2 linked regions of the Saccharomyces cerevisiae S288C genome follow. The gene in region 1 interacts genetically with each later gene. Each region holds a gene or a part of one and is shown in the gene's direction. Other genes may lie near its edges.

Region 1 (6,856 bases):
GGAGCTGACATCCGTTTTGAACTATATAGAACTGGAACAAATGGATATTGCAAATGTCCTGGCTTCGCAACCGGTAAACTTACACGCTATCAGAAATCTCACTAGCAGGGACCCTGCGGTAACTCCTATCCCATTTTTAAGAAGCCAGATGTATGCAACCAGTAGTCGTCCACCGTATCTAAGGAACCGCTCCATAAGTAGGAAACTACCCAAATCACAACCAGGTAGTCTCCCGACGACTATGCCTGCGACGGCGACGAAAACAATTAAACAGAATTCAACGACCCCAACCACAAGATCTGTTTATAACAAGAATGTGGGGCGGTCCAATACTTCCCCTAGTGTGTTGTACCACCCAAAAAGAAGAGGAAAATTGAACACCAAATCGCATGCAAGAAAGGAGCAACTGCTGTTGGAACTGTGGAGAGAATACTTAATGCTGGTTATAACACAGAGGACGCAACTGCGCCTGACTTTGCTTTGCTCTCCGGGTTCAGCATCGAATGAAAGCTCTGTCTGCTCTTCTAACGCCAGCGACTTAGACATGTCCCTTTTATCTACTCCTTCAAGTCTCTTCCAGATGGCAGGTGAGACCAAAAGCAATCCTATAATTATACCCGACAGTCAAGACGATAGTATACTTAGTAGCGACCCCTTTTAAGTAGGTAACCCCCCCTGGATTGCATAGCCATTGCATAGCCTTAGACATCAAACTTTATTTAATCACATTATCCTTCTATGTATCTTTTTCCCCCGCTCGATTTCTTCTAGAACATTACGGAAAATAAAGGAAAAAAATGACTGGAGCATCGAATCTGTAGACTAAAAAGGTAATGACGCGTTCTTCGTTCCCACAAGTATGTGAAATCGTTTGAACGCTTTTATATACTGATAGGAATAGATTATAATAGTATTCAACATTCATCAAACAGTTTATATCGGTAATAAACCAACCTCACGATACAGTGATTATTTCTCTAAACAACACGAGCCGTACTGTACCTACGATAAAGTAAAACACATTTTTCTTTTGCTACCAGTGGACACAAGATAACGGAGAATGCAACAAAACACGTCTTTATATGACTCTTTGAACGTTACTGCCGCTGCATCCACATCTGAGATTAAGAAAGCTTACAGGAACGCTGCATTAAAATATCATCCTGATAAAAACAATCATACAGAAGAATCCAAGCGAAAGTTTCAAGAGATATGCCAGGCATACGAAATACTTAAAGACAATCGTTTAAGAGCTTTGTATGACCAGTACGGTACCACAGATGAAGTCCTGATTCAAGAGCAGCAGGCGCAGGCGCAACGCCAACAAGCCGGGCCGTTCAGTTCATCCTCAAATTTCGATACGGAAGCAATGTCATTCCCGGATCTATCTCCAGGTGATCTTTTCGCGCAGTTTTTTAATAGTTCTGCTACCCCCTCTTCTAATGGCTCCAAAAGCAGTTTTAATTTTAGCTTCAATAATAGCTCTACGCCGAGCTTCTCCTTTGTTAATGGCAGTGGCGTGAACAATCTGTACTCCTCGTCAGCAAAATACAACTCCAACGATGAGGACCATCATTTGGATAGAGGCCCTGATATCAAACATAATCTAAAGTGCACATTGAAGGAACTCTACATGGGTAAGACTGCAAAGTTGGGTTTGAATAGGACAAGGATTTGCAGTGTTTGTGATGGGCACGGTGGTCTAAAGAAATGCACTTGTAAAACATGCAAAGGGCAAGGTATTCAAACCCAAACTAGGCGTATGGGACCTCTAGTACAAAGTTGGTCTCAAACTTGTGCAGATTGCGGGGGTGCCGGGGTTTTTGTCAAAAATAAAGATATTTGCCAACAGTGCCAAGGTCTTGGCTTCATTAAGGAGAGGAAGATTCTACAAGTCACCGTTCAACCGGGATCGTGTCATAACCAACTTATAGTACTTACGGGCGAAGGTGACGAAGTTATTAGTACTAAGGGAGGCGGTCACGAAAAGGTAATACCTGGTGACGTCGTTATCACCATTTTACGTTTAAAAGATCCGAATTTCCAGGTTATCAACTACTCCAATTTGATATGTAAGAAGTGCAAAATCGACTTCATGACCAGTTTATGTGGAGGCGTAGTTTATATTGAAGGGCACCCTAGCGGTAAGTTGATCAAACTTGATATTATACCTGGCGAGATACTGAAGCCTGGTTGTTTCAAGACTGTTGAGGACATGGGGATGCCCAAGTTTATCAACGGTGTTCGGAGCGGTTTCGGTCATCTATATGTCAAATTCGATGTGACGTATCCAGAGAGACTGGAACCTGAAAATGCTAAGAAAATACAAAATATTCTGGCTAATGATAAATACATTAAAGCAGAACGTTCCACCATGGAAACCGCAGATTCAGACTGCTATTGCGATTTGGAGAAGTCATATGACAGTGTGGAAGAGCATGTGTTAAGTAGCTTTGAGGCCCCTAATTTAAACAATGAAGTTATTGAAGACGACGACCTTGGTGATTTGATTAATGAAAGAGATTCTCGGAAAAGGAACAACCGTCGATTCGACGAAAGTAATATTAATAATAATAATGAAACGAAACGAAATAAATATTCTTCACCGGTAAGCGGTTTTTATGACCATGATATTAATGGATATTGAAGGTTATATAGTCATGCAGTAATGTTATACATTTTCTATTTTTATTTTTTGTATCAGTACTCTATCTATAAGGACATTCCTTTTTTTAAGCAATGCGGAAAGATACGCTATTCTTCCTGTGGATGGTTTACCGCGGTTTGGGTGGTAATATCATTGCAGCCCTAGTCCTTTAGCAGTTTTTTTAGCGTGTAATACATTGTTATTCATCTTTTTCTTAGTGCCTGCCAAGAGATCGTGGGAGGTTACTTAACAGAAAAGCAAAAAAAAAAACCGATTAGAATGTGCATGCCGTTGTTACAGAGAAGCAAGGGAAGTTCACCACTGATCATATTTCTAAGTTCATCAAAATATCGTTTTGGTTTCAGCAGTAGGGATCTTTAACCCAAGTGTTCATTTTCTTTCCTTTTTGCTTTTTATTTGAATGATCTGAACAAAAGGAGAAACATATACTGTACTATTGCGTGAAAACGAACAGAGCACAACCCTCAAGAAAAAAGAGAACTACCCCTTAGTTCCATCTCATTTACTTAAGCAACACTTCCTAATTATTCTCTAATCCTAATAAAAAAAAAGAACTGATGTCGCGGGAGGCATTTGATGTACCGAATATAGGTACTAACAAGTTTTTAAAAGTCACACCTAATTTATTTACCCCAGAGCGATTGAATTTATTTGATGATGTCGAACTATATCTTACGTTAATAAAAGCATCCAAATGTGTCGAGCAGGGAGAAAGGCTGCACAATATAAGTTGGAGAATTCTGAATAAAGCTGTTCTAAAGGAGCATAATATTAATCGATCTAAAAAAAGAGACGGCGTGAAGAACATATATTATGTGTTAAATCCAAACAACAAACAGCCAATAAAGCCAAAGCAGGCAGCAGTAAAGCAGCCACCATTACAAAAGGCCAATTTGCCTCCCACAACGGCAAAACAGAACGTTTTAACTCGGCCAATGACATCACCAGCTATCGCACAGGGTGCTCACGATAGATCCTTGGATAATCCTAATTCTACAAACAATGATGTGAAAAATGACGTTGCTCCAAACAGACAATTCTCCAAATCTACTACGTCAGGGTTGTTTTCAAATTTTGCAGACAAATATCAAAAAATGAAAAATGTGAACCATGTTGCTAATAAGGAAGAACCACAAACTATTATCACTGGTTTTGATACAAGCACTGTTATAACCAAGAAACCTTTACAATCAAGACGCTCAAGATCACCTTTCCAGCATATAGGAGACATGAACATGAACTGCATTGATAATGAGACTTCCAAGAGTACCAGTCCTACTCTTGAAAATATGGGAAGTAGAAAATCCTCTTTTCCTCAGAAGGAATCTTTATTCGGAAGGCCAAGGTCTTACAAGAATGACCAAAATGGTCAACTGTCACTTTCGAAAACATCCTCTAGAAAAGGAAAAAACAAGATATTTTTCAGCAGTGAAGATGAAGATTCCGATTGGGACAGCGTTTCGAATGATTCAGAATTCTACGCTGATGAAGATGATGAAGAGTACGATGATTATAATGAGGAAGAAGCAGATCAGTACTATAGAAGACAATGGGACAAGCTTTTATTTGCCAAAAATCAACAGAATCTTGACTCAACGAAATCATCTGTTTCATCAGCGAACACAATCAACTCAAACACATCCCATGATCCCGTACGAAAAAGTTTACTCAGTGGACTATTCCTTAGTGAGGCAAATAGCAACAGTAATAACCACAATACTGCACATAGTGAATACGCTTCTAAACACGTTTCGCCGACTCCTCAGTCCTCTCATAGTAATATCGGTCCTCAACCGCAGCAAAATCCACCGAGCGCTAATGGTATAAAACAACAAAAACCTTCTTTGAAAACAAGCAACGTGACAGCTCTAGCATCGCTATCTCCCCCGCAACCATCCAACAATGAGCGGTTATCGATGGATATACAAAAGGACTTCAAAACTGATAATGAGTCCAATCATTTATATGAATCTAATGCTCCGCTAACTGCTCAAACTATACTGCCCACCGCCTTATCTACTCACATGTTTTTGCCAAATAACATTCACCAACAACGAATGGCGATTGCCACTGGTAGTAATACGCGACATCGTTTTTCGAGGCGGCAGTCGATGGATATCCCATCCAAGAACAGGAATACTGGGTTTTTGAAGACCAGAATGGAGATCTCTGAGGAAGAAAAGATGGTACGTACAATATCACGGCTTGACAATACGAGTATTGCAAACAGTAATGGAAATGGTAATGATGACACCTCTAATCAGAGAACGGAAGCACTGGGGCGTAAGACGAGTAATGGAGGGCGAATATGATTACTAAGTTAAATAAATCAGATACAGTATTTAAAGTTCTTTCAAAAAAAGATAATGTCATATATTTTACTATCTACGCAGTGAAAGAGTTCCTTCTAATGACACACTATTCACTTCGGGTAACGGATATTGTGTACTGAAAAATATAAAAAATTTTATCCCGGAAATGCGATGAGATGAAAATGCATGAAGTAGCGTATATATTGATTGCATGAGGTTGGACTTGAAAGGGCATATATACTCGGTTTTATCATTGATTCAAGTGTTCCCATAAATAATAAAACAGTTAAATCGAAATGCTAAGAAGACAAGCCCGTGAAAGGAGAGAATATCTATACAGAAAAGCGCAAGAATTACAAGATTCTCAACTGCAACAAAAACGTCAAATAATTAAACAAGCGCTAGCTCAGGGGAAGCCATTGCCAAAGGAACTAGCAGAAGATGAGAGTTTACAAAAGGATTTCAGATATGACCAAAGTTTAAAGGAGAGCGAAGAAGCAGATGATCTACAGGTTGATGATGAATATGCTGCCACAAGTGGTATAATGGATCCAAGAATCATCGTCACAACATCTCGTGACCCAAGCACTCGTCTCTCGCAATTTGCCAAAGAAATTAAACTGCTATTTCCAAATGCTGTCAGGCTGAACAGAGGTAATTATGTGATGCCAAATCTAGTGGATGCTTGTAAAAAATCCGGTACTACAGATTTGGTGGTATTACATGAACATAGAGGTGTTCCAACTTCTTTGACCATATCACATTTTCCACATGGACCCACTGCACAGTTTAGTTTACACAATGTTGTTATGAGACATGATATTATAAATGCTGGTAACCAAAGCGAAGTGAATCCACATCTAATATTTGATAACTTTACTACCGCTTTAGGGAAAAGAGTAGTCTGTATTTTAAAGCACTTGTTCAATGCGGGGCCCAAAAAAGATTCCGAAAGAGTAATCACTTTTGCGAATAGGGGTGATTTCATTAGCGTTAGACAGCATGTATATGTGAGAACAAGAGAGGGAGTAGAGATTGCCGAAGTTGGTCCTAGATTTGAGATGAGGTTGTTTGAACTGAGGTTGGGAACTTTAGAAAATAAGGACGCTGATGTTGAGTGGCAGTTGAGAAGATTCATAAGGACTGCCAATAAAAAAGACTATTTGTGAATTTTTTTATAGATTTGTAAAGGTTAAAATAGAAGGCCGATGAGGCCTTATGTAAGTCTAATATGGTATTCTTAAAAAAAAAAAAAAAAAAAAAGCGTCTTAGAGGGAATATAAGAGAAAAGAAGAGATAGCATAACACATGATTTATTTTTATTTTTGCGTTTTTTTTTTTTCTTAATTGTTTATCAATGTATCTGTGAGAGTATCTACATAAAAAAAATAACCATATGAAGACATAAATTTAAAAGAACAAAACGAACGAAGGGAAGAGGTGCAGAAAGGAAATTTATGTATCACAACTATTAAATTCAGTTGAAAATCCACCATTTGAAACTTTTTTCTTAAGCACTTCACTGACTTTTTCAACTCTTAACTCATGTTCGGAGGATAACGTATTAGAAGAAGACACGTAAGAAGGATCTGTTGATAAAGGCATGGGCTTGCCTATTGCTGTATATGACGAAGATGTCGATAAAGGCGTCTGGGTTGCTAATTCGGGATTACTTGCCAAGTTTGCACTTGAACGCAAAGACGAACTTAACGGAAAGGAAGGATCTAGCATGTCCATGGTTAAATCTTCTTCTTCGCTGTCACTTGATTCTATTTGGAACTTGGGATTCTTGTGCATGTTTGCAACAGGGTCAACGTTTGATAAAATGGATTGTCTTTGAAATAGTATCGAAGATGACCGGTTTTTTGGGGATTTT
Region 2 (6,320 bases), on another chromosome or scaffold:
AGAAATTCAAATTTTTCGCGTTTGAAAATTTATGCTAAACAAATAACTCGAGGAGGGACGCGTCGAGAAAATCGCGTCTTTCTACTCTCACAGTGCTTGCATACGTATGGTATACAGTATCAAAAGTAGCAGAATTTGTCTTCATTATGATATATATATATATATGTACATATATATAGGGTGCTAAAAAGTATTCTTTTTGCTATTATTATTGCTTAAATCGCCGACCTTTTTCCCATTGTCACGAGAACATAATTGTTAAACCAATAAAAGGAAAATCCATAACAAAAAAGGACTGGTCAAAGAAAAGACAACTCAATTGCACAATTACTTTACAAGAAACACGACAATGGTTACAGAAAATCCTCAACGTCTTACTGTTTTAAGACTTGCCACCAATAAGGGTCCATTAGCACAAATATGGCTTGCTTCAAATATGTCGAATATACCAAGAGGATCGGTTATCCAAACACATATTGCTGAATCAGCAAAGGAAATTGCAAAAGCTTCTGGCTGTGATGACGAATCAGGGGACAATGAATACATAACTTTACGAACATCTGGCGAATTACTTCAAGGCATTGTTCGTGTATATTCCAAACAGGCCACTTTTCTCCTTACAGATATAAAGGACACATTAACGAAGATAAGTATGTTATTTAAAACAAGCCAGAAGATGACTTCTACAGTAAACAGACTGAACACTGTAACAAGGGTTCATCAATTGATGTTAGAAGATGCCGTTACAGAAAGAGAAGTTTTGGTCACCCCAGGGTTAGAGTTCTTAGATGATACTACTATACCAGTGGGCTTAATGGCGCAGGAGAATTCGATGGAAAGAAAAGTCCAAGGTGCTGCTCCCTGGGATACTTCACTTGAGGTCGGTAGACGATTCAGTCCAGATGAAGATTTCGAACATAATAATTTGTCTAGTATGAACCTTGATTTTGACATCGAGGAAGGTCCGATAACTTCAAAATCTTGGGAAGAAGGAACAAGACAAAGCTCACGCAACTTTGATACGCACGAAAATTACATACAAGATGACGATTTCCCTCTTGATGATGCTGGAACTATTGGTTGGGATCTAGGGATTACCGAAAAAAATGACCAGAACAACGATGATGACGATAACTCTGTTGAGCAAGGAAGAAGGCTAGGTGAATCAATCATGTCTGAGGAGCCTACGGATTTTGGATTTGATCTGGATATAGAAAAAGAAGCACCCGCAGGCAATATAGATACGATAACCGATGCCATGACAGAATCACAGCCAAAACAAACTGGCACAAGAAGGAACTCAAAATTACTGAATACCAAAAGTATTCAAATCGATGAAGAAACAGAAAATTCAGAAAGCATAGCTTCATCCAATACATACAAAGAGGAGAGATCGAATAATTTATTGACTCCACAGCCCACCAATTTTACGACTAAAAGATTATGGAGTGAAATAACTGAAAGTATGTCCTATTTACCAGATCCAATCCTTAAGAACTTCTTATCCTACGAATCTCTAAAAAAAAGAAAAATACATAATGGGCGAGAAGGGTCAATTGAAGAACCTGAGTTAAACGTGTCGCTTAATCTTACCGACGATGTAATTAGTAATGCGGGAACAAACGATAACTCCTTCAATGAACTGACCGATAACATGTCAGACTTCGTACCAATTGATGCTGGCTTAAATGAGGCTCCTTTTCCTGAAGAGAATATCATCGACGCAAAGACTAGAAATGAGCAAACTACCATCCAAACTGAAAAAGTTCGTCCTACTCCCGGTGAGGTGGCTTCTAAAGCTATTGTTCAAATGGCGAAGATTTTAAGGAAGGAATTAAGCGAAGAAAAAGAAGTAATATTCACGGATGTACTAAAAAGTCAAGCAAATACAGAACCAGAAAATATTACTAAAAGAGAAGCCAGTAGAGGATTTTTCGATATTTTATCACTTGCTACAGAAGGATGTATTGGTTTGAGTCAAACAGAAGCATTCGGAAATATTAAAATAGACGCCAAACCTGCACTATTTGAAAGGTTTATCAATGCTTAAAACCTAGTTACGCCGAGGGGATTTCTTGGTGGACCCAATAAGCTGATGCATATATAGATCAAAGACTTTAATTTATAAAATTGTCAATATTTAATATTAATATTCACAAAATACGATAAAATTCAAACTAATGCGGTAGAGCCACTACTGGCCGCAAGGCAGAATGATCTTGGCAACTCTACACGCTGGTGCATGGGTAGTATTTATTCTAAAACTTGCTGTATTATTTTGAATAGTGATATTAGGAATCGTCTGCCCACGTACACCGGTGAAGCCGAAATTTTCTCATGGAAACCTTGGGAATAGAAGAAAGGTCCATTGTAAGTGCTACATACTGACCATCTTACATAATCTTACACAACCCTGGTAATAAAGCCACGTCTAGAAAGTTTTCCAGGCCAAACAATCTTCTTTTCCATTAGCTTTGGTACATTAGCAGCCAGAGGAAACATTATGCAGTTTTTAAAGGCTCAACTTTTTATCTAATATACAAAACAATAAAGTTGAACAATTTCTGGATAAAGCGCCTAGAACGTCTTACGATATCTTCAAAGAAAATAGAAAAAAATGGAATTTTTAATTTTTAGTTAGAGGAAACTAAACTTCCATCTTCACCTCCTTTAGAATCAGCTACTTTTGTAGATGATCCTTCCTCGTTATTTTTTATCTTCTGTTCATTCTCTTCTTTATCATCATCCGCATCTATATTAGATATCTTTTTATTATATATTTCCATTTCCATCTGGTATCTTTCTCTGTCCTCACTATAAAGCTTATAGTACGGTTTCCTATCTTGTTCGTTAAGATTTTTCCAACCTTCTGCCAGATCTCTTGTCACGTCCAGAGAGCCATTCTGCCTAATCCTTTCCTTATTCATTTCACAGTACAATAAGTATGCATTTGTGGGCCTCTTGGGCATATTCGGATCTCTTTCCTTTACTTTGTGTCTTTTAGTTTTAGATTTTCGAAATGGCTTCGTCAATAGTTCCTGTTTGAAGGAGGCCAGAGTCGGCAATGGATCCTCACAGTTTAACTCAGGATCAAGTTCTATCCTGGATTCCAACCTCTCCAGTAAAACACCGTATTCTAATTTGAGTCTTTTCACCGAAAGTCGTGACCTTTGGATTGCAAGTCCAAGCACCACATTCTGATCTTTCAATTCTTCAAGTCTGCGCTTTTTTTCTTCAACTGACATTTCTTATGTGTTACTATTACCTATATCCTGGCTGCTTCTCATCCAATTCTAGCCCCTAGAACGATTTAATATATATGTGCGTGGTAATCATTTCCTTATATTTTAATTGAAATCCTTCCTTTCTCAGAAGAAAATCTTTTTTCTAAGGAAAATGGAGAACCGTCGGCTCCTTTTGCTTTACTGGTGTATTCTTGTTTTTTCTGTTTGATAATGCGATTTAGGGCGAAAAACTGCTGACAATACCTTGTCCGCTTTCGTGCACAAGATTTCTTAGCACGAAAATATATCAAGTAACCGTAAAATTATTCCTTTGCCGACTATCACCGTAACTGCGGCTAAACAAATCTGTCCAACTACTACTCAGCTTAAATTAGCATTTTAAATACATTTAATATTCAATTAGTCATGGTAGATAGTAATGATGATCAACCGGAACGCCATGCATTACTTCATAATGACATCCAAACATCAAATAACAGTAGGCCATCACTGGTCCAAAAAAAGTACTTACCTACCCCACAAGATACAAGAAAGTCTAGAGCATCGTATACAGGAAGTGCCATGATCAACCCGACAAGTAAACAAAGTCGTACAGGATCGGGCGCTCAAAGAACATCACGCACAGCACAGAAACTAAAACTTTTGCCAGAAGAACCATTCCAAAGAGATAGCGAAAGACTTACTGATTTAAAGAATCAGGAAGTATATTCTCAGGTAAACAGGATAAAAGATAAGCCTGCTAGAAGGGATGCTGAAAAGTTGGGAAAAGCTCACAGACATTTACTCCCCAGGTCAACTGCATATTGTACTGCTAGCAGTTACAATATGAAAGAGCTGGTAAGGTGGTTAAAGGACTGTCGAAAGCTACATCATACTCATCCTAAATTGTTTGATGAATGCTTGTACACTCCCTTCATTTACAACGATTGGAGGGGCGACAAAAGATTTGAGGATGAAGATGTGATTAGGTTGGATGATGAGGGCGGTGAAATTATTGTTAGTGACAAGCACCCAGATCTGTTTATCTTTGAATATGGTGTTGTCGTTATGTGGGGGTTTACTGAAAGAGAAGAAAAAGCTTTCTTAAACGATATAGAAAAGTTCGAAAAAGAAAAATTGGCGGAAGAAGATATTCAAGTTGAAGAGTTCAATTATTATGTCACAAAAAGTTATCAACCAAGAATATATAACGATTTTATTACCTTGAGAGATGGTTCAAATTACATGGTAAAACTCTCTATCTCTCATGCAATTGCTCAAAGCGTAAAAATTTCACTTTTCGAAGAGCTTGTGGATAATACTATTGAAGATACTCAGGATATACCACAAGAAATTGCATACAGCGGTAAAGTTTCTATGAGCAAAGAAGATATAATGAAAAGTATAGGGGAGCTATTCATTTTGAGGATAAATATCAATCTACATGGATCAGTTTTAGACTCTCCAGAAATTATGTGGTCAGAACCACAGTTAGAACCCATATACCAAGCAACAAGAGGTTACTTAGAGATCAATCAGCGCGTTTCACTTTTAAATCAAAGACTCGAGGTCATTTCAGATCTTCTTCAAATGTTGAAGGAACAGCTGGGCCATTCTCATGAAGAATATCTTGAATTTATTGTCATATTACTAGTTGGTGTGGAAGTCCTAATATCGGTGATCAATATAGTGGTTGACATGCTGGCTAGTCAACATTGAGCCTTTTGATCATGCAAATATATTACGGTATTTTACAATCAAATATCAAACTTAACTATTGACTTTATAACTTATTTAGGTGGTAACATTCTTATAAAAAAGAAAAAAATTACTGCAAAACAGTACTAGCTTTTAACTTGTATCCTAGGTTATCTATGCTGTCTCACCATAGAGAATATTACCTATTTCAGAATGTATGTCCATGATTCGCCGGGTAAATACATATAATACACAAATCTGGCTTAATAAAGTCTATAATATATCTCATAAAGAAGTGCTAAATTGGCTAGTGCTATATATTTTTAAGAAAATTTCTTTTGACTAAGTCCATATCGACTTTGTAAAAGTTCACATTAGCATACATATATTACACGAGCCAGAAATAGTAACTTTTGCCTAAATCACAAATTGCAAAATTTAATTGCTTGCAAAAGGTCACATGCTTATAATCAACTTTTTTAAAAATTTAAAATACTTTTTTATTTTTTATTTTTAAACATAAATGAAATAATTTATTTATTGTTTATGATTACCGAAACATAAAACCTGCTCAAGAAAAAGAAACTGTTTTGTCCTTGGAAAAAAAGCACTACCTAGGAGCGGCCAAAATGCCGAGGCTTTCATAGCTTAAACTCTTTACAGAAAATAGGCATTATAGATCAGTTCGAGTTTTCTTATTCTTCCTTCCGGTTTTATCGTCACAGTTTTACAGTAAATAAGTATCACCTCTTAGAGTTAACCTATACTAAAATTTATGCCAGTTAACTATGAGATAAGCAAGTATCATCTCATTTCATTACCTGAAGTCGAGTAAACAGAAAATCCAATTGTTGATGAACCTCAATGACTTAGAACTATCTATCGGCAGATCATATAAAGAGGATTTAGGTACCTAGAGGACTGTACCTGGAGTATATATATATATATATATATATTATCTCAACTATAGTCCATAGAGGTTTCTTTCTTGAGGCCTTAAACTGCTAAAGAATGATATTGGTGGAATGCAAGCACCAAGCGCTCTTCTTGCGTGACTGTTCATATACTTCAAACCAAGAATGTAACTGGCATTGACCCATCCAAAACCTTCAGTAGCTGCCCCTTTAAAGTCAGCACCTTGATTACCGTATTCTGCTTCAACACGATGAGGATCTGTTCCTCTTGTGACATCATATTTTTCAACCACAATACCATTATAATCGACAAAAGCCTTTGTCATCATGAAAAGCCATCTATAAGCTAGCCTATTCGTTACAGTTAAATAACCATAAGAACGGAGGCCTTCCCAAGCAAGAATTTGATGGGGTGCCCAACCAAATGGATAGTCCCATTGTCTAATTGGTCTCGAAATAGAAATTGGGCCTCGAGAACGCTCCG

What was found. A genetic interaction does not mean that the proteins touch.
Region 2: mutations in MKS1 (region 1) and RMD1 together harm fitness more than expected from each alone (negative genetic interaction), as found in Saccharomyces cerevisiae (2 studies listed by BioGRID).

What each region holds. Positions count from the first base shown.
Region 1 is NC_001146.8:480,331-487,186, forward strand, and holds MKS1 (Mks1p), read left to right. Parts: upstream 1-3,225; coding exon 3,226-4,980; downstream 4,981-6,856. Other genes in the region: NIS1 (Nis1p), read left to right, coding at 1-661; APJ1 (Apj1p), read left to right, coding at 1,061-2,647; snoRNA-binding rRNA-processing protein IMP4, read left to right, coding at 5,277-6,149; MLF3 (Mlf3p), read right to left, coding at 6,436-6,856. UniProt on the Saccharomyces cerevisiae protein: Negative regulator of Ras-cAMP pathway. Involved in transcriptional regulation of galactose-inducible genes.
Region 2 is NC_001136.10:444,334-450,653, forward strand, and holds RMD1 (Rmd1p), read left to right. Parts: upstream 1-3,650; coding exon 3,651-4,943; downstream 4,944-6,320. Other genes in the region: MCD1 (kleisin alpha), read left to right, coding at 350-2,050; NHP10 (Nhp10p), read right to left, coding at 2,634-3,245; alpha,alpha-trehalase NTH1, read right to left, coding at 5,887-6,320. UniProt on the Saccharomyces cerevisiae protein: Required for sporulation where it is believed to have a role in meiotic nuclear division.